6 linked regions of the Canis lupus familiaris genome follow. The protein of the gene in region 3 purifies or fractionates together with the protein of the main gene of each other region. This does not show direct contact. Links are inferred from orthologs where the notes say so. Each region holds a gene or a part of one and is shown on either strand. Other genes may lie near its edges.

What was found.
Region 1: the proteins of INAVA (region 3) and CYTH2 purify together in Homo sapiens (co-immunoprecipitation; 3 studies listed by BioGRID and IntAct, counting the BioPlex papers as one, with this or other methods). This does not show direct contact. The link is inferred for Canis lupus familiaris from reciprocal best matches to the Homo sapiens genes INAVA and CYTH2.
Region 2: the proteins of INAVA (region 3) and CEP170 purify together in Homo sapiens (co-immunoprecipitation; 3 studies listed by BioGRID and IntAct, counting the BioPlex papers as one, with this or other methods). This does not show direct contact. The link is inferred for Canis lupus familiaris from reciprocal best matches to the Homo sapiens genes INAVA and CEP170.
Region 4: the proteins of INAVA (region 3) and CYTH1 purify together in Homo sapiens (co-immunoprecipitation; 3 studies listed by BioGRID and IntAct, counting the BioPlex papers as one, with this or other methods). This does not show direct contact. The link is inferred for Canis lupus familiaris from reciprocal best matches to the Homo sapiens genes INAVA and CYTH1.
Region 5: the proteins of INAVA (region 3) and CYTH3 purify together in Homo sapiens (co-immunoprecipitation; 3 studies listed by BioGRID and IntAct, counting the BioPlex papers as one, with this or other methods). This does not show direct contact. The link is inferred for Canis lupus familiaris from reciprocal best matches to the Homo sapiens genes INAVA and CYTH3.
Region 6: the proteins of INAVA (region 3) and SGF29 purify together in Homo sapiens (co-immunoprecipitation; 3 studies listed by BioGRID and IntAct, counting the BioPlex papers as one, with this or other methods). This does not show direct contact. The link is inferred for Canis lupus familiaris from reciprocal best matches to the Homo sapiens genes INAVA and SGF29.

What each region holds. Positions count from the first base shown.
Region 1 is NC_049222.1:108,474,275-108,478,421, reverse strand, and holds the start of CYTH2 (cytohesin-2), read left to right. Parts: upstream 1-1,347; 5' UTR 1,348-1,556; coding exon of another isoform or gene 1,557-1,572; coding exon 1,573-1,575; intron 1,576-2,017; coding exon 2,018-2,111; intron 2,112-2,409; coding exon 2,410-2,557; intron 2,558-2,646; coding exon 2,647-2,713; intron 2,714-3,716; coding exon 3,717-3,835; intron 3,836-4,147. UniProt on the Homo sapiens protein: Acts as a guanine-nucleotide exchange factor (GEF). Promotes guanine-nucleotide exchange on ARF1, ARF3 and ARF6. Activates ARF factors through replacement of GDP with GTP.
Region 2 is NC_049228.1:34,209,951-34,212,539, forward strand, and holds the end of CEP170 (centrosomal protein of 170 kDa), read right to left. Parts: intron 2,359-2,589; coding exon 2,072-2,358; coding exon of another isoform or gene 1,999-2,071; 3' UTR 1,759-1,998; coding exon of another isoform or gene 1,748-1,758; 3' UTR 501-1,747; downstream 1-500.
Region 3 is NC_049228.1:2,036,754-2,040,253, forward strand, and holds part of INAVA (innate immunity activator protein), read right to left. Parts: intron 2,686-3,500; coding exon 2,561-2,685; intron 2,444-2,560; coding exon 2,327-2,443; intron 2,167-2,326; coding exon 1,947-2,166; intron 1-1,946. UniProt on the Homo sapiens protein: Expressed in peripheral macrophages and intestinal myeloid-derived cells, is required for optimal PRR (pattern recognition receptor)-induced signaling, cytokine secretion, and bacterial clearance.
Region 4 is NC_049230.1:3,507,908-3,511,905, reverse strand, and holds the start of CYTH1 (cytohesin-1), read right to left. Parts: upstream 2,801-3,998; 5' UTR 2,669-2,800; coding exon 2,542-2,668; intron 1-2,541. UniProt on the Homo sapiens protein: Promotes guanine-nucleotide exchange on ARF1, ARF5 and ARF6. Promotes the activation of ARF factors through replacement of GDP with GTP.
Region 5 is NC_049227.1:11,644,696-11,648,195, forward strand, and holds part of CYTH3 (cytohesin-3), read right to left. Parts: intron 3,428-3,500; coding exon 3,347-3,427; intron 2,246-3,346; coding exon 2,133-2,245; intron 2,028-2,132; coding exon 1,879-2,027; intron 1,687-1,878; coding exon 1,575-1,686; coding exon of another isoform or gene 1,574-1,574; intron 1-1,573. UniProt on the Homo sapiens protein: Promotes guanine-nucleotide exchange on ARF1 and ARF6. Promotes the activation of ARF factors through replacement of GDP with GTP. Plays a role in the epithelial polarization.
Region 6 is NC_049227.1:18,372,763-18,376,801, forward strand, and holds the start of SGF29 (SAGA-associated factor 29), read right to left. Parts: upstream 2,801-4,039; 5' UTR 2,614-2,800; exon of another isoform or gene 2,549-2,613; intron 2,384-2,548; exon of another isoform or gene 2,330-2,383; intron 2,324-2,329; exon of another isoform or gene 2,189-2,323; intron 1-2,188. UniProt on the Homo sapiens protein: Chromatin reader component of some histone acetyltransferase (HAT) SAGA-type complexes like the TFTC-HAT, ATAC or STAGA complexes.

The sequences.
Region 1 (4,147 bases), on a different chromosome or scaffold from region 3:
ATCCCCCACTTAATAACCGGATGGGATTAATTAGCTAGCTGTTCTCCCAGTGCAGGTGTCTGAGGTAGGGACAGGGGTGAGGGTAATGGAAACACCGGCATGGGGAAGGATGTTAAGTTAGGGGTGAAGGGACAGGAGGGGGGTTCTGCTTGGAAGGAAGAAGAGTGGGGCCAGGCTGGCACACCCTAGCTTTCCACGAGGGGAGGACAAGACCCAGGCCACTCATAAAGGTCAGGGAGGAGATTAAGAGGCTCCGTGTCTAATCTGTCAGCTTAACCAGGTCCTGGCCCTGAATCTGTCCCCACCTGCCTAGCCCAGGGATGGCAAATGAGGACAAGGCCCAGTCACTACCTGAGACCCAGTTAGGGACCCACCCATGACAGTGATGCCCGGGTGCTCCATTCGGGCCAGCTGCCTGCACTTGGTTTTTCTGCAAGGAATGGAAATGAGAGGCTGGGGCGGAGGGGGAGGGGAGAGAAGGGTATCATAGGTGGGGAGACTCCGAGAGGAGGGAGGAGTTTAAGAAGAGGGGGAACCTGAAGGGAGGGGAGGCAGAGAGGACGGAAAGGACTTTGTGAGCGAGGAAGGAACCGGAGAGGTGGGAGGATGTTGAGGAAGAGGAGCCGTTTTAGGGGAAGGATGCTAAAGTGAGGGGAGGAGTATGAGGGAGAGAGGGAGGAACTCGAGAGGCAGAAGGCGTCAGGAAGGCGTAGCCTTCCCCAAATGTCCCACTCTGCATGACAGATACCCAATAGCGTAGAAAGAAAGTCTTTGTTTCACCACCCCTCGGCTCGCAAGAGGCTGAAGTGGCTGGGGAAGTCCTGAGAGGGGTTAAAGAAAGGATCTGGAGATCAGAGAGGCCAGTAAGGGGAGGAAGGAGGCCAAACGACGGGCCAAAGCGGCTCCCAGTTGCCTGGCAACCGCTGCGGTCAAAAGCCTGCTGCGCCGGCCGCGGAGGTGTGGCTCCCGGAAACAGCCGACAGTTGTGGCGCCGCCCCCTGGCAACGAGACTAACAAAGTACCGCTCCCCGGCAACCTATCACCAGAGGCGGGGTCGACTGGCCTAGCGTCCTTCCAGAGCCCTTGCGCAGGCGCCGTCCTCTCGGCTCGCGCACGGTCCCGCCTCCATGCAATTCCTCTCCGAGTCTTCTCATTGGCGGGCACGCCAGCCACAAACCTTCTTTTGTTTCGGGGGCGGGGCCTGGCTCCCTGGCCGCACTCCGATTGGCCCTACCGCCCGTCTATCTCCGCCCGGACGGTGCTACGTCTGTTCCCTGTGCGCCTATTGGTCCTGGAGGACGATCCTTCGGGGTCGGGGGCGGGGCAGACGAGAGGGCTCTCCATGGATTGGGCGGTGTCAAAACGAGGGGCGGTCCCTATCGGCGGGGCGGTTGGGAGGCGAAAGGAGAGTCTTTTCAGCGCTGAGGACTGGCGCTGAGGAGGCGGCGGTGGCTCCCGGGGCGTTTGAGCGGGCTCACCCGAGCCCGCGGGCCAACGCGGATCCAGGCCCGACCGGCGGGACCGCCCCGGACTCCCCGCGGGCCTTCCTAGCCGCCATGGAGGACGGTGTCTATGGTAGGTCAGGGAGGGGCGGGGCCGGCTGGGAGCGGATGGAGCGTTTGGACTGGAACGTTCGGCCGCGAACGTCCCTCCCGGCGCGCGCCGCGCGGCGCCTTGGGGCCCCGTCGAAGCCTCGCTTTTGTGGGGCGCGGAACGGGCTTCCGGCGGGGCCCGAGAGCAGGGCGTTCCAGGCCATTGTGTGGGCCGAGCCTGTTTCCGGTGGCGGCGGGAGGGGCGGGATGGAGCGGCGGAGGCGCGGCCGGGGCGGAACCATTCCCGCTGGAAGGGCCGGGCGAGCCCAGTGCCTGCTGGGAGCCGGGAGGGGGGCTTCTGGGGCGCTTGGCTGGGGAGAAATCTTGGGGGCTGCGGGGATCCCGCGAAGGCGGGGCGGGGGCCTTCGATGCCCCGCCCCCCTTCCCCAACTCTCAGGAGCTGTCACCAGCTTTCCCTGCCGTAGTTACTTTTCATGGACCCAGGAGTCCGGACACCCAAGCTCCCAGTTGCCTCGCCAGGAATGGAGGCAGAGAACCAAGGCCTCACTCCCCTTCCAAGTAATGGACCCGGAAGTTCGGCCTCCCAGCCCCCTTCTGCCTCAGACTCAGGAGTCCTGACCCCTAGCCTCCTCCTGCCCCAGGACTTAAGAGTCTAGATCCGCAGCCCTTCCTTGTCTGGGCTGAGAAATCTAGACTCCCAGCCCCTTCTTCCAGGAGACAGAGGAGGCCCAATCCTCATCCTCATCCTCCCTTGCAACCTAGTCCTGCCCACCCCAGCTCGGTCCTCCCCCAGATTGCAGGAATCCAGGTTCCCAGCCCCCAGAACTGACCTCCAACCCCTGACCCTGACCCACAGAGCCCCCAGACCTGACTCCGGAGGAGCGGATGGAGCTGGAGAACATCCGGCGGCGGAAACAGGAGCTGCTGGTGGAGATCCAGCGCCTTCGGGAGGAGCTCAGTGAAGCCATGAGCGAGGTGGAGGGTCTGGAGGCCAATGAGGGCAGGTGAGGGCTGGGGTGGGGAACTTGGGGATCATGGGGCCAGGCCAGGGACGTCCAGGCATTGAGCCTCCATCCCTTGCTCTCTCCTGCAGTAAGACCTTGCAACGGAACCGGAAGATGGCAATGGGCAGGAAGAAGTTCAACATGGATCCCAAGAAGGTGCTTGGGTCACAGGGCTGGGATCGGCCAGGCAGACATCCAGACAGGGGCTTCTGGCACTTTCAGGTTCTAGATCTACTTGAGGTGGACACATGTGGCTCTAATTCCGGGATTCAGATATTGGCAGTCCATTTGTTTTCTGAACACTAACGGAGGTGTCCCCGCCTCCTGACCTTTGTGTGTCCTGTGTCCTCTGCCTGGGAGGCTCCCTTCCCCTTTCTGTTCATATTTCTGGACCCTCTTGTGGTGCCACCTAGAGTCTCAGGAGTAGCTCGAGTGTGGTAGGGAACATGGACCATGACATGCCCAAAGGAGGGTTGACCAGTGCCACTTCACAGAGATCCCAGGGCTGTGGACCTTCATGGGGGAGCTTCGTAAAGTTAGGGCTTTCTCGAGGAGAGGATGTTCAGGTCCGGTTTGAAGGACGAGTCAGTGTCCACCTGGTGCAGAGAGATGTTTGTTTACTAGGTCATTCATTTCACACATTCTCTGTGGCCTCCCTCGAGCTTGCCCGTGTACTAGGCAGGGCTGGAGACCCAGGACAAGAGCTGGCCCTACCTTGCCTTTGATGAGCCCTTAGACATGGCTGCCACACTCCAGAGTTAGGTGTAGCTCTCCTGGCCCAGGGTGAGCCAAGAAGGCCCCATCCATCCTGAGGCTTGGCCCTCACAGCCCGTGACATGCTGCTGCCTACTAACAGTGTCTCACGGTATTCTTGAAGCCCAAAGCAGTTGTAGTTTGTCACACATTCAGCAAACTCACTGGGCTCCTATTCCTTGTGGGACTCTGCCCTTGCTGCTGGACTAACCAGGCAAAGGCAGAGGGAACAGTAGGTGTGAAGGCTCTGAGGCGGAAGGGATGGTATTTAGGGACCGCTGTGAAGCCCCAAAACAAGACTTGACCCAGTTCTGTCCAGGCTGGGGGTGGATGCTGAGGTCCTTGGGGAGGCGGTGGGGCGTGGCTTTCTGGCTGTTGAGGCTGAGACCTGGTCCCCACCCACCAGGGGATCCAGTTCTTGGTGGAGAATGAGCTTCTGCAGAACACACCCGAAGAAATCGCCCGCTTTCTGTACAAGGGTGAGGGCCTGAACAAGACCGCCATCGGGGACTACCTGGGGGAGAGGTGAGACCCTGCCCAGCTCCCTGTCATCCCCTGTGCCCAGCTCCTTTTTTTTTTTTTTTTTTTTTTTTAAGATTTTATTTATTCACGAGAGCCACAGAAAGAGAGGCTGAGACACAGGTAGAGGGAGGAAAAGCAGGTTCCATGCAAGGAGCCCGATGTGGGACTTGATCCCAGAAATCTGGGATCACGCCCTGAGCCAAAGGTAGGAAGCACCCACTGAGCCAGCCAGGCGTCCCTGCCCAACTCCTGCCCTTAGGCCACCAGCTTTCTCTCCTGAGAGAGGCCCTAATAGACCTGCCCTCTGGCTGGATT
Region 2 (2,589 bases), about 32 Mb from region 3:
TATAAAGTTCCAGAAACACTTTATTTAAAAATGGAGTTGTAAATGCATAACAAAATAACATAAGTAATAAATGTAACAAAAATAAATAAGGAGGAAATGTATTCATACAAAATAAAAATAACATAGTAAAAGGCCAAATGTTTATAATTGAACAAAACGGTGTAAACACTTAAAGGATAATGTAAGTAGAGTAGATGCTAATATTTTCCTAAACAACTCCTTACCTTCTACTTCCATGGGGATATAATCAGTACCCAAACATTAAATAAAAGAGAGAGCAATGGTGATTATTTTGTTTGACTTTTTCTTCAAATGGACTGACCCTGTTTTAATGTTTCACTTCCTCCTTCAAAGCATTTTTGTATCATTCCATTCATGTTCTTTAAAACTTTTTTTCAGTCTTCCTTTATTAAATAGAATGGAGAAGTTAGCTTTACAAGGAGAATAGTTCATTTACCTTTTTTTTAATTTAAAGAAAAATATGAGATTCATTATACAACAGTCTTTTGTTTTTTACATCTCTATAAAAAGGGTTTTTTTGTGGGTTTTCTTTTTTTTCTTTTCTTTTTTTTTTTTGCATCTCTATTAACTGGCCCAACATTACAGGAGTTTTTAAATCTTGTAAAGTTTTGATACGTCCAGAGTTAGTCTCTTGCAACCAATGTAGTAAAGGATTATTGCTGAAATACTAAAGACCATTCGTAAAAGTTGCAAAAACTGCAGTATTAATCTTTATAGACTGATAGGGTCAAGGGGGAAATCCAAGTCTACTAAGTAATATTTAAAGGAATTAAGATTCGCCCAAATTATAGTGTTCTGGAAACACAAAGATAATTACTTTCTTTTAAAACTTATCCAAATGTGAACTTACTGGAAGGAGAAAACACAAGTTTACAGAAGGTACTTTTCCACAGGCTTCCTGTTTAGTGGCATAGGCCTGAGCCTTCATCATTACGGTCTTGCAGGGTCCTTCTAAATGTGTAAGACGGACAGGATTTACTACTGGGTCCTACTGGGGAACACACAGAAGCAGTTCATTGCTTGGGAGTGAAACTATCCACTAATCTTATGACTACTGGTTCTCCAAGTCTCCTAAAGAAGCAAATCTTAACCTCATGATCATCTCAAGGGGATTTTTTTTCAACTGTCACATATAAACTTGGTAACACAGGACCAATATACATGTTCTCAGTTTAAAAAATATACTCCACCTAAACAGTCTAATCTGTCTACTTATCATCTGCTCTAAAATGAGACAAAAATCTTACTTCCGTTAAAAAAAATTTTTGAAAAAAGTGCCAAATTGAGCATTTTGAAAGTGGAGTAAAACACCGAGGGGTTAAAACAAATACAGTATTATCAATATCCTATATACAAAAAAGACGGTTAGTCCTTCCTTATTGATATACAGCTATGTCCACCTACCACTCCCGGCAAATCTTAGTGCAAACATAATAGTTCATCTCCGTAAACCCCAAGACAATTTACGTAGCAACAAAGTTATATAAATCACATATATGCTGGAAAATTTCAGAACACAAGAACGACTGTTTTGAAAGGTCAGGACTGTGGAGAGTAATATGTCATTGTATCCAATGGTAATGAATACTAATATAAATCCTATTATTAAGAAGTAAATATAAGCGTTTAACAAATCTGTACAGATGAAGAGGAAGTCCATTTCGGGAGCAGCTTGGCACAGAAGACATGGGGGTCAGAAATGTTGGGTATTTAATTTGCTTGTAGGTCACAGCATGGCTTAAAGAAAAAAAACAAAGATCTATGAAGGGAAAGGATGCAATGAGAGAATTCAATTTGAAAATCATAAAACCACAAAAGGCGAAACTGCCACAATCTGCTTTTTCCTATATGTGCATCACGTAGTTTTCTAATGGTCTGAAGGATTAATAGGATACCACATTATAGGTAAAAAATAAATAAATAAAATTAAGAAGACAGAGAGAACAAGATTGTAGCTGATCAAGCGGTCTTGTTTTGTTAAGTCAACACTATGCTGCTTCCAGTATTCCTAGTCATCCACAGGTACTGGTTTTTAAACATCGAGAGAAAGTCACTCATGTACTGTAACGTCTTCCTCTTCCCCATCAGGGTTGAACCTATTGAAATGGATACTGAAATCAGCCTCAGACTCGGCATTCTCAAATTCAGCTGACACTGAGATAGCAGCAGGATGGGGAACCCTAGCTTCTGGCGGGCAAAGTGTCGGTGTCTGACCCGGGCTGCTGTGGTTATTCACGGGAGACTTCTGTTTTGGTGGAGATGGCAAGATAGCACTGGGGAATCCCATGTTGTTCAAAGCCTCCAGAGTTCCATCTGGGTCAATCATCGCATTGATTGCTGAAGGGAAAACAAGAATATGGGGGAAAAAAGATAATTGTAGATGCAGTTAAATTTGGATGTAAACACTGCTTATGTCTTGGATAATATTTCAACTACTGATGCTTGTATGAGCTTAAATTTGGCTAATCCCTTTTTTTTTAAAGATTTTATTTATTTATTCATGACACACAGAGACAGAGAGAGAGAGAGAGGCAGAGGCACAAGCAGAGGGAGAAGCAGGCTCTATGC
Region 3 (3,500 bases):
AATAAGTAAATCTCTTAAAAGAAAAAAAGAAGACATTCTAGTAGACAGCATTGCTCAGGGCAGGTGTTGTCAGTCAACAAACGCATCCTGAGCACCTAGGACAATCAGGTGTGTGTTGAGGGGAATTTCTCCTTAAGTTCACTGTGATAAATTAGTTTAGCACCTGCCTGCTCCTGCCACCTGCAGGGTACTAATTACTCCCACCTTGCATAATTAGTAATTATTCTAAATCGAATAAGCCTTGTGTGGAGACCAAGGGGGCAGGGTGGCTTTTTCTCTTTTCTTTTTCTTTTTATTCTTTCTTTCTTGTTTGCTTTTTTTCTTTTTAATTCAAAACACCTTTCAGCTACTAATTATTAATCCCTTCCTACTTCCTCCTTCCAGGGGAAGCTCGCTGGGCAGGGATGCCACAGGGATGGAACCACTTGCTAGAGCCGCCGCCTGCTAGGCTCCCAAGGAGGGACATCAGAGCCCCAGACCTCAGGCCCCACGGTCAAGGCAGGGTTTGAAGGTGGGGAGCGCAGGGTCTTTCGCTCTGGTCTGGAGGGCGAAAGGCCACGCTACACCATGTTTCTTCTCTACAGCTCTGTGTTCACCTGAGCTGAGCACCCCGAGAAGGTTTCAGAACCTCCTGCCTCCCCCCAGAGGGTTAACCAAAGCCCCAGGCGTGTGCTGACCTGCTCTCAGCCCCCGCAAGAAGCGTCATTGGTGGCAGTGGCAGCCGCAGAGGAACACCCCCCACCGCCCCCCACCCCACCACCTGCAGGCCTGAGCATTTCCAGCTGGAGGGGAATGCAGAAGGGGCTGAGACAAATAGAGACGGGCCCTCTCCCTCCCCTGCCAGCCCCCCCCCCCCAGCAGAGCAAGTGAGCCCTCAGGGACTGTCTGTGCCCAGGTCCATAGCTTCCTTTCAAGGGGGCGGGGAGGGGGCGTAGGGGTCAAGTCCTGGGACCCAGTCAGAGTAGAGGGAGGACGGAGAACTTTCCCATCTGGGTCTTGGAGCCCGGAAGTGCTGTCTTGCAGCCGGCCGAGCCAGAGCCAGAGCCAGAGCCAGAGCCAGTCGACCCAGAGAAGTGTTGCCATCAGAGCCTGGGTCGGGCGGGGGCACCTTCCCCTGTTTATTGGATCAGCTGTCACGGGGAGGCACCTCCTCCCTGGCCCTCTGCCTCTGCTGGAGGTGACCTGGCAGGCGGTCTGGTCACACCCTTCCCCTCTACATTAGAGACAACCTGTGGCGGCGGGGACTCCTGAGACCTGTGCTGAACGCGTCCCCTTGTCCAAGGCACGGGGGACCCTACATTCGAGCATCCCCAACCAAGGGAGGAGAGCAGCCTCAGGGAAAAGGCAGCGTAAGGTGCAGGGGTAGGAACCTGGGGTGGGGGGAAGGAAACCATCCCCCGAGCCCACCCGAGCCTGGGCATCCTGCCCTGTCCCAGGCCACCGCTCCCCACCCCGGGAGGTCGGGCCCCACGGGAGGCGTGGGTCGGGGCCAGCCATGGGCACGATGCCCTGGGAACCGGAAGGGAGGCTGCCAGGCCACCTAAGCAGCTGGGCTTGGGTCTGAGAACAGCGTGAGCGCACCCAAGGGCTCAGAACCGCTTGCTGGAGGGTGACCGGGCTGCGAGGGTGTCCGGCAGCGGCGGGTCCTGGGCAGGGAGCACTCCCCGCACGCTGCGGCCCCAGGTCCCCGGGCCACGGGGGGAGGCTGGGGTCACGGTAGGGCAGGGGGTGCCGGTCTGCAGCTAAGCGTCCCCCAGTAGGCCTGGGCGCCGAGGCGGCGGGCAGCGCCTCCCCCCGACCCCGCGCCGGAGGGGCCCGGCTTCTGCAGCTGAGGCCCAAGCTGAGGCCCGGGGCACCTGCGGGAGCGCGGCGCGGCGCCTCAGGGGCGGCCCTTCCCGGGTTCGAGGAGGACGCGGGAGCCACGGGAGGGGGCGGCGGCGGCTCACCTCGGCCCAGGGCCCGCGCGGCGGGGGCCGCCCCGGCCGAGCGCCTCCGCTCCCGCAGGCAGCGCTGCAGCGCCCTCAGCTTCTCCTCCTCGCGCTGCACCGCGTGCTTCCGCTGCCGCCGCGCCTGCCTGCTCAGGTGGTCCTCGCCGCACAGCCGCCGCGCCGCCGCCGCGATCTGCCGCTGCACCGCCAGCTCGCGCTCCAGGCCGCCCAGCGGGTCCTGCGGGGCGCGGGGTCAGGCGCCGGAGCACCCGCCCCGCCCCGCCCCGCCCCGCCCCGCCCTCCTGGGGGTGCCCGGGGGGGGGGGGCCGGCCTCGGGGCGGAGCGGCCGGGCCTCAGGAGCCGCCCCGCAGGCCGCGCCGCGCCTCTGCCCGCCTCACCTCTCCGCGCAGGGCCCGCTCGTCCAGCCTGTAGGCCGCCCCGACCCTGCGCCGCACCCTGGGCGCCTTCTCCCCGGGCCTGAGGGGGTACTCCGCGGGCAGCAGCCCCGTCAGCTCCTGCGGGGAGGCCGCGTCAGCCCGCCGGCTCGCCGCCCGCACCCCTGCCCGCCCACCGCCGGCCCAGCCCCCCAGGGAGCGGGCTCCCCCCAGCCCAGCGCCCCCCCCAGCCCTCACCGCCTCCCTGAGGCACAGCCTCCTCAGCTCCTCCAGCCGCGCCTCCAGCCGCGCCTCCAGGGCCCTCTGCTGCTCGCGGCCCGCGGGCGCCAGCTCCTTCAGCGGGGACACCGGGCTGTCGGGGCCTGGGGGCGGCAGGGGGCGGCAGGGGGGCGGCTCGCGGGCGCTCCGGCTCCGGGCGCGACGCCCCCACACGCCCCCTTGCGGTCCCGGGCGCCGCGGCAGCTGCACACTCGCCCGGGCACAGCCTCGCGCCGCCCGCCGGGCCAGGGGAGGGCAGCCCCGCCGCCAGCACCACGCCGGCCCTCCTCCCCCTCCTCCCCCTCCTCCTCCTCGCCCCCCTCCTCCCCCTCCTCCTCTTCCTCCTCCTCCCTGTTCCCCTCATCTTCCACCTCCCCCTCCTCCTCCCCCTCCTCATCCCCCTCCTCCCCTTCCTCCTTCCCTCCTCCCCCTCCTCATCCCCCTCCTCTCCTCCTCTCCCTCCTCTACCTCTCCCTCCTCCTCATCCCCCTCCTCCTCTCCCTCCTCTACCTCTCCCTCCTCCTCATCCCCCTCCTCCTCTCCCTCCTCTACCTCTCCCTCCTCCTCATCCCCCTCCTCCTCTCCCTCCTCTACCTCTCCCCTCCTCCTCTCCTGCCTCCCTCTCCTCCCTTCCTCTTCTGCCTCCCCCATCTCCTCCCGTCATCCCCGTCCTCCTCCTCATCCCCCTCCTCCACTTCTCTGCCACTCTCTCTTTCTCTCTCACCCACATTCGTGCTGCTTCTTTCCTCTCTTCTGTCAGGACTAGGCCCACAGACTCAGGCCACTGAGAGGCCCTTTCTAGTAGCCAGATAAGATTTTTCTACTTCTTAGTAATCACTAGGGCCAAAAGTGCGGAGACCTGTTCCAGATAGGATCAGACCTCCAGGCCGGGCCATCTAGGAAAAACTGCAGCCCCTCC
Region 4 (3,998 bases), on a different chromosome or scaffold from region 3:
CGGCTGCAGGGGCTACCGGACAGGCCCTGGGACAGGGCCCGGATAACCCTCAGCCACCATGCAGGGAGAAGACCCCCTGACCTCATTCTCCTCGGACTCTCCAGCCTCCTGGACAGATCCAGTGGAGGCCAGCAGGCAGGGCAGCCTCCACAACAGCAGGACGGAGAGGGCCGACGGCACAGGCGGGGGGCTGCACGCCAAGGCACGAGCTCCAGGAGCCACTCGGCAGGGTAAGGACGTCTGCGACGGCCCCATCCGCTGCCTCGAGGTCTCAGCTCCTCATCATAGCTCCAAGACCCTCCTGGATGCGACCCCACTGCCCCCCCAGGCTTTTCTTACCCCTTGTGTCTAGTGTTTCCTCTTTAACCAAAATAACGTGCACACATCACATAAAAAAACAAACAGTACCTATGGCTTAAAACAGCAACCCACAGTTTCCTGCCCAACTGCAGCCCCCACGCTCGCATCCTGCTCCGTGGAGGTAGGCTCCTTCAGCTCTCTGTTCTGCTGATTACCTCCCTGCTTCCACACATCACAAGCACACTACCTGCTCCCGAGTCCTCAATTCTGGGCAGCAACTGCCTGCCATGGAAGAGGAAGACTCAGCTCTGACCCCCACCCTCCCCGCCCTGACACACGCTCCGTACAATTACACGTGAGGTTTGGGTTAAATCAGTGTTTATTACTTCCATAAACACTGCTCACAGCTTAGCTACACAACGTACTAGGATTGAAATTACCACGCAGTGGCGTGAAGTGTCTCCTTTGTGTCTGTGTGCTTAGCTCTCTGCCTTACAGATGGAAAGCCAAGCTCTCTCCACCAGGTATGACGCTGTCAACAGGAGCAACCCAGTTCTGGGTCAGCCCTCCAAAAACCTCCACACTCCTCCCGGCCCGGCCTTGCTGCTTTCACAGCAGCACCCTGGCAATTCCCTCTGCCTCTTCCAAACGCCGCCTCCCGTTTCTCTCATTCCGTGCTTCCTTCCTGGATCCCTTCTTTTGCTAGAGCATATCCTCTAAGAAGGACACGAGGGATGGGTTTCCATCACTGCTGTGGATTTTGCATGTCCAGAAATACCCCTGTCCTCCTCCCACACTCGACTGGCACTCTGGCTGGATTCAGGGCTGTAAGTTAAAATCGCTTCCTCACGATGGCGAAGGCATTCCCTCACTGCCTTCTGCTCCCACAGTGCTGTTAGTGACCGTGCCATTCCAACCCCAGAATTTTCTATGGGACCATCTTCCTGCTCTGAAGGCTTTCAGGGTCTTCACCCTTGGCGCTGTGTGGTTTTGTAACACAGTGTCCAGGTGTGGGTCCGTTTGCACACACTGTGCTAGCCCCTAGGCAGACCCCAACTCTCAAGTCTCATAATCTTTGATGATGTCCTACCCTTTTTTCTCAGCTCTCACCGTTTAGAGTTTCTGTTAGACGCTGGACCTCCACTGTGAATCCTACTTTTCATCTCCTTGTGGAACCACTTTCTAGGAAGTATTCTTGCAAGGCACTCAATGTTAGCGTTTACCCCCGATCTGCGTGCTGAAACCCTAACGTGATGGCATTTGGGAGGCAATCAAGCCGTGAGGAAGGAGCACACATGTGTGGGATTGGCGGCCGTCCAGGAAGAGGCCAGTGAGGCCAACTGGCTCTCCTTGTACCTCATACCTTGAGAGCACACAGCAGGACGACAGGCTCCTGGGGGCCAGGAAGGGAGCTGGGAGCAAGAAGCACCGATGCCGGCCCTGCTCAGACTCCCCGTCTCACACCCGCAGCACTCACACCCGAGAGAGCGCTGCAGACACCACCCAGTGTGTGGTGCTGTCACGGCCTGCCCTGGGGCAGCTCTCTACTTCATCTTCCAGTCTCTGGATTGTTTTCTTTTGGCTGTTTTTAACTCGCATGAGCCCACTCTTAATCTCCGAATGTTCCTTTTGGATAGCATCCTATTCTTGTTTTATTAATACATCACATCTAAGACTCCTAGGTATGTGGCTTTTAAAATGCCCTGCTACAATCTGTTTCCTCAAACATCTTTTCAAACGCCGGCACATTGGCGAGGACAGGCACACACTAGCAGATGTGAAGATGTGGGCTGTCCCTCCACATCTAAGGGCCAGCACCAGCAGCCTGGTGAGAAGGCGTGTGGTGGGTGCGGCCTGTGGAGCGTTGGGTCTCCCTTAAAGCAGGAAAGCGGTAACACGCGGACCGCGAGGGGCTCCGTGGGTTCTCTCTCCCATCAGCCTGAAGAGCCATCCTCCAACCTCCTTCCTGGGCTGTGTGGGCTACAAACCTGGGCAGAGCAGCCGGGCCGCCAGGTGGAGGGAGAAAGGGTGGGACGGCCACACCGAAGGACACACACCTTTGCTCACTCTCCCTGTGCCGCCATAGCGCTCTCCAGAAATCAAACCTTTGTGTTCCACCAAAAGTGGAGGAGACATTGCCTTGCTGCAGGATGTGGGGAGGGGACCTGAGAGCCTTCATGCCTGCCATGAACACCTTCCACCCTCATCCAATCCCTACCCTCACCCCTTGTCTCCACTCACAGAGGCCCACGGAGCCCTGCAGCCTTTCTGGGATGTGAGGGTAAGTGGTTTTGCTTCCTGATGGACCCCTCCTCTGCAGCTGAGATCTTTCCTGATGAGCTGCCAGGGCGAGAGTGGCATGGGGCATAGAACCATGCGAGTGTCCTAAGACTCCCAGAAGAGCAGCTGTGCGCTGGGCTGGAGGGTGACAAAGACGTCAATCCTCTGCAGAAGAAAATCCACAGGCACCTGGCAGTACTGCAAACTCTTTGGGAAGTTACTTCTGCTTGGGTTACCTGAAAAATACAGATTTGTACTGTTTTTCCTCACAAACAGGAATGGATCTTGCCAAAAAATAAAAAATAATATAACTGAAAAATTTTTAAAAGGCTGAGGACAAAGAAAATACATATGTGTTACAAAAAATTCAAATGAGGGGGTCACCCGGGTGGCTCAGCAGTTGAGCATCTGCCTTGGGCTCAGGTCATGATCCCGGGCTCCTGGGATCGAGTCCTGCATCAGGCTCCCTGCTTGGCGGAGAGCCTGCTTCTCCCTCTCCCTCTGCTTCTCCCCCTGCTTGTTTTCTCTCCTATCAAATTAATAAATAAAATCTTACAAAAAAAAAAAAAAGGAAGAAGAAGAAGACAAACTGTACGGAAAGTAGTTGGCATAGTAGTTTTAGACGCCTTTTAAAATAAAGTAAAAAATACATGATGCAGTCAATGCCGTCTGTGCTGCCCTCTGCTGGCTACACGAGGAGGCTGTTTAAAGGTTTACAATTGGCCATTTTTGCCAGTAAATTCAATTACGTTTTGAACATATATGGGGAGAAAAGAGGGAAATTCATGATCTACACAGAGTGGGCCATGCTCTGCTGATACCTGCCAATACTTCTTTCTTATTTTCTGAGATGGTTTTCTTAATACTAGAACTGGTTTGACCTTTGTCCCTACACCGGCGCATCGTGGGAACTGGCACGGGGAGGACGAGGACGGTTAAGGATGCAGCGGCTGGAAGGCGGCGTGGCGGGGTTAGGGCAGCACCATGCAAAGCATCAGAGCAGGGGTCCCCGCCGGCACCACCAAGGAGACAGAATGAGCCCCAGTGACAAGCCACCCGGCATGAAGACTGGAGGCAGGCCGGTCCTTCCGCAGCTCTGGGACACGGAGGGCACTGGCTGTCCCCTCTGCAGTCCTCGCCGTGAACGCCGGTGAGAGGATTCAGTGCCCACGGCCGCTGCTCCGGGAAGAGACTGAACTCGGGGCCCCGGGTGGCCCCTCCCCGGGCCTCCTCACCCCGAAACCTGAGACAGCCCACCCGCCCCCCGTTTTCTAGCGACCGGTCACACACACCCCACTCAGATGTCTTAATAAAGGTAGTGCTGAGTACGCTGCCTTCATCCAAAAGGCTGGAGTCCTCCCTGGGTGTTCAACTCAAGCTAACGCCTGCTGAACGTGCTGCGGGCTGGGGCCCGGAGG
Region 5 (3,500 bases), on a different chromosome or scaffold from region 3:
CACCTACCCAGCACCCAAGCCAGCTCTGTGGCCCCTAAGGGTGCTCTGGGCACTGCTTACATGTACAACCAGAACACAGGTTGGAAAATAAGGCCTGCTGTGCCTTTACCTCCCTCATTTTGTTCTGTCTTTAGAAGCAGGAGCATCTCCCACTGGTGCTGAGGCTACACCAACTGCCAGGCAGGCTTGCACTGTCACTGTCACCGTCACACGAGGGGCATTCCCTGGCCGTGCAGGAACAGGAGGGACCCAAGTGCAGCTGCTGGTGTGTCAGACACATCCCTCCTCTGCCCTCACCCCAGGGCCACAGGTGTGACGTGACCTCAGAGATGCATCTCGAAATCCATGAAAGCATTCAAGTCCACGCTTAGGGCTCTGAGTTTGCAGACAAAGATCTAGAACTCCCCTAACTGGCAGCACAGGCAGAGAAGTCAGAGCAAGACCCCAAATCAGAATGGCTGAGCCCCAGCACACACCTTCATGCCTCTTACCCACACTTGATTAAAAACACAAAGTTGCCGGACTTCTTGATGTCTTACAGTATGTTCTCAGAGTGCCCGGATGGTACACAGTTGTCACGTCTCACAGGCTCTCATGTCACAGTAAGGCAGAAATCCCAATCTCCCCAGAGTAAAAACAAAACAAAACACCCCACCCTAACAATTCATTAAATTGCCCAGAAAATATCAATGTTTCTGTACTTCTTTGTCAATGGTTAGGAAGCCTTTTAAACATTTCCGGATTCCGTCCAAGGGTGGTGCAAACATGCGCTGTTTGGTTAGTATGAGAGGCAACCGGTGATGTACGGGAATGGAGCAGGCAACCAGCAGTCTCGTGGCTGCTCAGGCCCTAAGGACACTGAGGGGCAAGCTCGTTCCCACACGGCATTCCCATGCGCTCCCGGGCGCAGAAAGGCTGGCATTCCAGCCATGCCTCGCCCGGCCCCGGAGGTGTAGGTGTCACATTCGCTGCACCCTGCATGAAGCTAACCCCGGCAAGTCCAAAGCCACATGGGTCAGATGAATGGCAGCCACAAATCAGAGCTTCACACAGACCAACGGGGGAGAGAAACTGAGAGAGGAATGAGCAGCTGGGGAAGGGGCAGGAAGCCACTGGGTACGTACCTCCTAACGCAGAACAAGCAGGGACAGCCCGTCACAGAACAGAAAGGTGGGAGCCACAGGCAGAAGGAAAACAAGAAGGCACATTTAAACCACTCATCAAAAATCAGCCACACCAAACCAAGAGAAAGGCACGCAGGTTCTCGCAGTAAATGCACCTGCCTCTGGTACAGAAAACTGCTTGGGTCTATCTGGATGCTAAGTGAGCAGTTTTCTCGGACGCTCGTGCAGCCCGGGCGTTACTCTCCTGCCGTGGACACTGACAAGATGGCCTCGTTCGGACAGGGCAGGGCTCAAAGCAGCAGCCATCAAGTCTGGGGCGTGCGGCCGGCTACCGTGGGCGGACTCGGCCCAACAGCCCTTGCTTCTAGCGGTTCTGCCTTTGGTCGGGGGCCTTGGGGGCCGAGGGCTGGGGGCTCCGAGCGCGGGGCCCACCTGCTGGCCGCCACTCACCCAGCTTCAGGAGCCAGCCCTCACGGTCAGGGTTGAAGAACGTGTGTGTCAGGTCATTGCCATCATCCTCGGGGATCTTAAACGGCTCGTTCTTGATACTCTCGTATAAGTTCTGCGAGGAGCACGGGGACAATGGTCTCAGGGATGCAGCCGGGGGCCAGGGGTGGGGAGGGCCCAGTCAGCACTGTGTCCCCGAGGGCGCCAGGCTCAGCGGGACCAGGGCCACGAGGTGCCTGAAGGTTAAGGGGCGGCGGTGGCAGCTCCTGAGGGGCGAGGGCCAGTTCCGTGGAAGAGGGAAGCTCACCCGCAGCAGCTCCTCCGGGAGATCCCCTCCCTCATTGATGCCACGGTTCATGGTGACGAAGCGCTCAGCCGTGGGCTTGTCCCGCACATTGTGGTTGTGGAGGCTGGTGTTGAGCATGATGATGGCAAACGACAGCACATAGCAGGTGTCTGAAAGAGGACAGAGGGAGCCGGGGCGCTCAGCCGCCTGCCCGGCCAGAGGCACCCCCTCCACCCGGCAGAGGCGCACAGTGCTGGGGCCCAACCCTCACCGACCTGTGGACTGGAAAACGCCCGGGTTGCACAGGCAATAGCGGGACGCAAACGCCTCCATCATGCGGTCGATCTTCTGAGCCTCCCCCGGAAGTCGAAAGCTCCACAAGAACTGCCTGCGAAGACACCAACACCAGGGGATGATGGTGTCTCTCCCTCTAGAGGACCCCCAACCAGGGAATGCTCCAGGCAGCCCCTGGATGGCAGAGGGAGGCACTGGGGGCAGAGCCCCAGGACCCGCAGGAGCAACGTGGCGGCCGCCACTTGCTGCCCTCAACTGTCCACCCAGGGACAGCCGGCACCACCCGCAGGAGCACGTCGGGGACCCCTGGCTCCATCCAGAGACTGACCAGCTAAAAGAAAGGGAACCCTGGCTGCCATGACCACACCCCAGACTCGCCAGGCCTGTGTCTCTGTGTTGCAGAGTTGTCAGCACCTCCTTCAGCCCAGGCCAGCTGAGGCACCGAAGAGGACAAATGGCAGACAGCAAAGCCACCCCCAGCTCTGTGCAACTTGCGGAAGCCGTATGGGGACAAGGGCCAAGAGCAGGACAGAAACATGGTCAGTCACACACTTTGCAGCCACAGAGCAGGAAGTAGTCGCAATGGAGACTGCATGGCCCTGGCTTGGGGGACAGCCATCGGAGCCTCAGCTGGGACACCAGGAAGGAAACCGGATCCTCTTGGTGGTGCAGGAAGAGCAGAGTGTACAGGACGATGCCTCGAGTGGACATCCAGAGGGATGACCTGGCACCTCTACCATGGTGGCCGGCAAAACCTCAGGGCCACACAAGGGCCATCCTCTTGCATTCACCCCTATGACATGTAATGATGGCTGGCTTTGCCTGGACAAGGCAGGGACTAGAGGGCAGCCTCTGACAGCAGGCCGTCCACACGCTCCCCACCCACGCTGGGGCGTCCACGAGGCAGGCATCTGAGATCAGATGCCCCAGGAAGCAGACCCATGCCTAGGCCGCCCCAAGACTCTGCTGCAGCAGTGGGAAGAAAGTATGCACTGACTACTGAGTACCAACTGAGATGAGGGAGAAGCAAAGGAGTGGGGAACGGCACGCACACCCAGCGGTCCCACCAAGGCGAGCACAAGCTCGGTCCGTGAACGCCTACCCAGACCCTTGGGCAACACCCTCTCCTCTGGGGGTGAGCCCCGGCCTCCTGCTCCAGCACCTCCCCGCTAACAGCCGAGACTCTGACACTTACCTTAAGGCTTGGACAAGGTTCAGATCAGCAAACTCATGGAGTTCGACAAACGCCTGGAGAACTTTAATATTAAAGTCGTCCCTGGGAAAGAAAGCAAACACAGTCCAAGTCCACTGCACAGAATTTCTCAATCATCTCAAAAGAAAGATATTTC
Region 6 (4,039 bases), on a different chromosome or scaffold from region 3:
CACTTCAAGAGTTGTACTTGCCAACCTTCTCACACCACAGCACACACAGTACAAAATATTTCTGGTAACATTTGTGTGGCACACTCAGGTAAAAGGCAAAGCTGCTCACAGCTGGAAAAGAATGGCAGGGGGATCTGGCTGCCCCAGGCCCCACTCATCTGCCCTGATGCCAAGGGCAGTCAAAACTTTCAAAGCATGGTATACAAACTTCTGTTCTTGCATTGTCACACATACATTGAGAGACTGTTTCACTTACTTATCTCTCCTGCAGACCACGAGCTCTTAGAAGACTGACATGCAGTTGTATTCGTCTTTATATTCCCAGAAACTAGCCCAGGGCCTAGCACCTACTAAGTCTTCAGAATACATTACTGAACCAAACTGAATCCTGGAAATCTCTTAAAATAGTCTCTCAACAATTCTTAAGTTGGGCTATTCACTATCTTCCCTCCAACCCCAGGAAAAAAAAAATTGTCCCCTTTTTTTTTGGGGGGGGGCAGGTTAAAAAGTAAGCTCTATGCCCAATGTAGGGCCCAAACTTATGACTGCAAGATTAAGACCTGAGTTGAGATCAAAAGTCAGATGCTTAACCACCTGAGCCACCCAGGTACCCCAATTAGTTGATATTATAGATACTTCCCTGTATAAATGCACTCATGAATAGTTGTCAAATACCTACTCTATGCTAGGAATGAGAAATATACATCAGTGAATGAGACAAAGAGTCCCTGTCTTGCTTACAAAACTCACAGTCCAGAAAGGAACAGACATTAAACAAGTAGTTCCATATACTTATTTGTAGGTGAAGTAAATACCTTATAAAGGACATAGAAAACAGGATACATGGATAAATTTGAATAAACGATGACAGGTAATGTTGAAGAACGGAAAACACAAATTCTCAGGCAAAAATGACCAAGTGCCAAAGAGAATATCCACAGAACACTCAGTAGTGAAACTTCAAAGCCTTAAGGGCACATACACACTAATACACTGGAGAAGGAAAAGGGGGGGGGCAGGGCCAGGCTGCAAAAAAACACCAAGAATATATCAGTATTTGGCCTGAGTTGGCCTGAACAACTGGAAAAATGGGAAGACTGGGGAAAGTGGTGAAGGTATGTGAGGGGTAAAACTCAAAATTTCAGTTCTGGACATGTTTGAGATGCCGACTCGACACTTTGAGATGTCATTTGCAAGCTGAATATAAAAATCTGGTCTTGGAGGTAGAGCACTGGGTCGAAGATTGACATTTGAGAGCACAATAGATAGTATTTCTATTTAAGGCCTTGAAATAGGGACGCCTGGGTGGCTCAGCGGTTGACCGTCTGTCTTCGGCTCATGGCATGATCCCGGGATCCAGAACCGAGTCCTGCCTCCGGCTCCTTGCAGGAAGCCTACAAGACTCTGCCTGTCTCTACCTCTCTCTCTCTAGCACTCAAGAATAAATAAAGAAAATATTTTTAAAAAGAAAATAGTTTTGAAATGGATAGCTCCTAGGAAGTGGACACAAAGAAGAGCTTAGGATGAGGGCGTGGGCGGGGGAGTATAACCATTAAAGATAGGGACGAGGAACAAGAAATCAGCAGAGGAGAAACCAGAGAGCTGAAGCTAAAGAAGAGAATGTTTAAGAGGCCTGGGTGGCTCAGTGTCTGCCTTCGGCTCAGGTCGTGATCCCAGAGTCCTGCGATCCAGTCCCACATCAGGCTTCCCGCAGGGAGGGAGCCTGCTTCTCCCTCTGCCTAGGTCTCTGCCTCTCTCTGTGTTTCTCATGAATACATAAAATATTAAAAAAAAAAAAAAAAATTGGGCAGCCCGGGTGGCTCAGCGGTTTAGCGCCGCCTTCAGCCCAGGGCGTGATCCTGGAGTCCGGGGATCGAGTCCCACATCGGGCTCCCTGCGTGGAGCCTGCTTCTCCCTATGCCTGTGTCTCTGCCTCTCTCTCTCTCGTCTCTGTGTATTCTCATGAATAAATAAATAAAACCTTTAAAAAAAATTGAAGAGAATGTCCTACAAATCAAACGAAGAAGTGCTTCAAGAAAGGGCAGTGATGAAGCGCATCAGCCATTGCTACAGAGGTGAGAACGAACTGAACACTAGCTTTGGCGACCGAGAGGTCACTGGCGGTTTCCACCAAGTGCTATTTTAGTGGAGCGCTGGGGGCCTAGACTAGAGCGGGTTCGAAAGAGACCTGGAGATGAGGCGCCAGCTAAGGCTGAAGCCTCACGCTGCAAACGGGCGCCGAGAGATGAGGAGGCAACTGGAAATCTCCGGAGGGCGAATGAAGTTGTCTCGTTAGAAGGGGCTCAACCCCGCTGCCGTCTTCTCGCACCTGAGCTGAAGACCCCGCCTCCGCCGCCTCTGCGGCTTCTGCGCCCCGCACGGCGAACGCCCGCTTCCCCTCCACGCCGCGCCGGCCAGCGCATGCGCAGAGCCCAAAGACCGCCGCCGCAGCCCCACCCCTCCCCGAGCCCCGCCTCTCCCCGCCCAGGGCGCGTGCGCACCGCCCCCCGAGAGTTGCCCCAGCGAGGCCCGGGAATGGGGACGTACCGAGGGCGACCCCGGCCCTCCGCTCCCGCCATTCCCCGGGGGCCCCAGACTGCGACCCATCCCCACCTGCCAAGCCACGGAATAGGCACGTCGAGCTGGAAATTACGACGGCAGCCGCGGGCGCGTCCCTCGAATGTTTTTCAAAGTCTGAGTACCGTAACGCGCTTGCGTTCGAAGATTCGCGGCACGTCGAGAACTACACACGCTTTTTCCCTTTTACGAGCTAGTCGCAGCGCGAACCTTTCCGCGCATGCGCCGTCCTTCCTTTGTGACGTGTCGCGCTGCTCCTTGGGAAATGTAGTTTTTATTTTATCAGTCTATGCCCGATGCCCTAAGGGAACTTAAGAAACCAGAGTCCTTGTGTGTTTTTAGTATCCTCTCTCATTCCCCAAAGCCTATAAGATAATTTAAAAAAATTTTTAAACCTCAAGCTGCCCCAAAAGATGTAGTTTATTATTTTAGTTTTTTTTATTTTATTTTTTAGCTCTATGGTTTTTTTAGTTTTTTTTTTTAGTTGTTTTTTTTTTAATTGAAGTTCAATTTGCCAACATATAGCATAACACCCAGTGCTCATCCCGCCAAGTGCCCCCCTCAGTGCCCATCACCCAATCACCCCAACCCCCCGCCCACTTCCCCTTCCACTACCCCTTGTTCATTTCTCAGAGTTAGGTGTATGTTTAGTTTTTTAAAAATAAAGCAGATCGGATCCCTGGGAGGCGCAGCGGTTTGGCACCTGCCTTTGGCCCGGGGCGCGATCCTGGAGACCCGGGATTGAGTCCCACGTCGGGCTCCCTGCATGGAGCCTGCTTCTCCCTCTGTCTGTGTCTCTCTCTGTGTGACTGTCATGAATAAATAAATAAAATCTTAAAAAAAAAAAAAAAACAGATCTGTAGACCCAAAAATTGCACTTTGAGGGAATCTTCTCAGGACCGTATTAAGGACGTGAGTAAACATTAAACTACATTAGTTTACATTCTAGTAAATGTCTTATAATTTCTTACATAACCCCTATCAAAGTTTAAAATTACATTTTATATCGTTTATTTTTTAAAAAAGATTTTATTTATTTATTCATGACAGCAGACACACAGAGAGGCAGAGACACAGGCAGAGGGAGAAGCAGGCTCCATGCAGGGAGCCCGACATGGGACTCGATTCGGGGTCTCCAGGGTCACATCCCAGGCCAAATGCGGCGCTAAACTGCTAGGCCACTGGGACTGCCCTATATCGTTTATTTGATTCACTTGTCAGCTCAATAAGATTCGAATCATCTGTTTTGTTCACCTGTTTTCTCATTACCCAGCACATTCCTAGTACCTATGAGAGCAGATAATGGGCCCTCAACATTTTTGTATGCACTTAGAAGAATCTCAGACTTCAACACAAACTATTTCAGCCCCAAACTAACACATCAGTTTATTTTTCCCATCAAGGTTGTTTTTCTTTGTGTGGTCTCTTTGTCAATGAATGGCATGACCATCTATCCCATCTC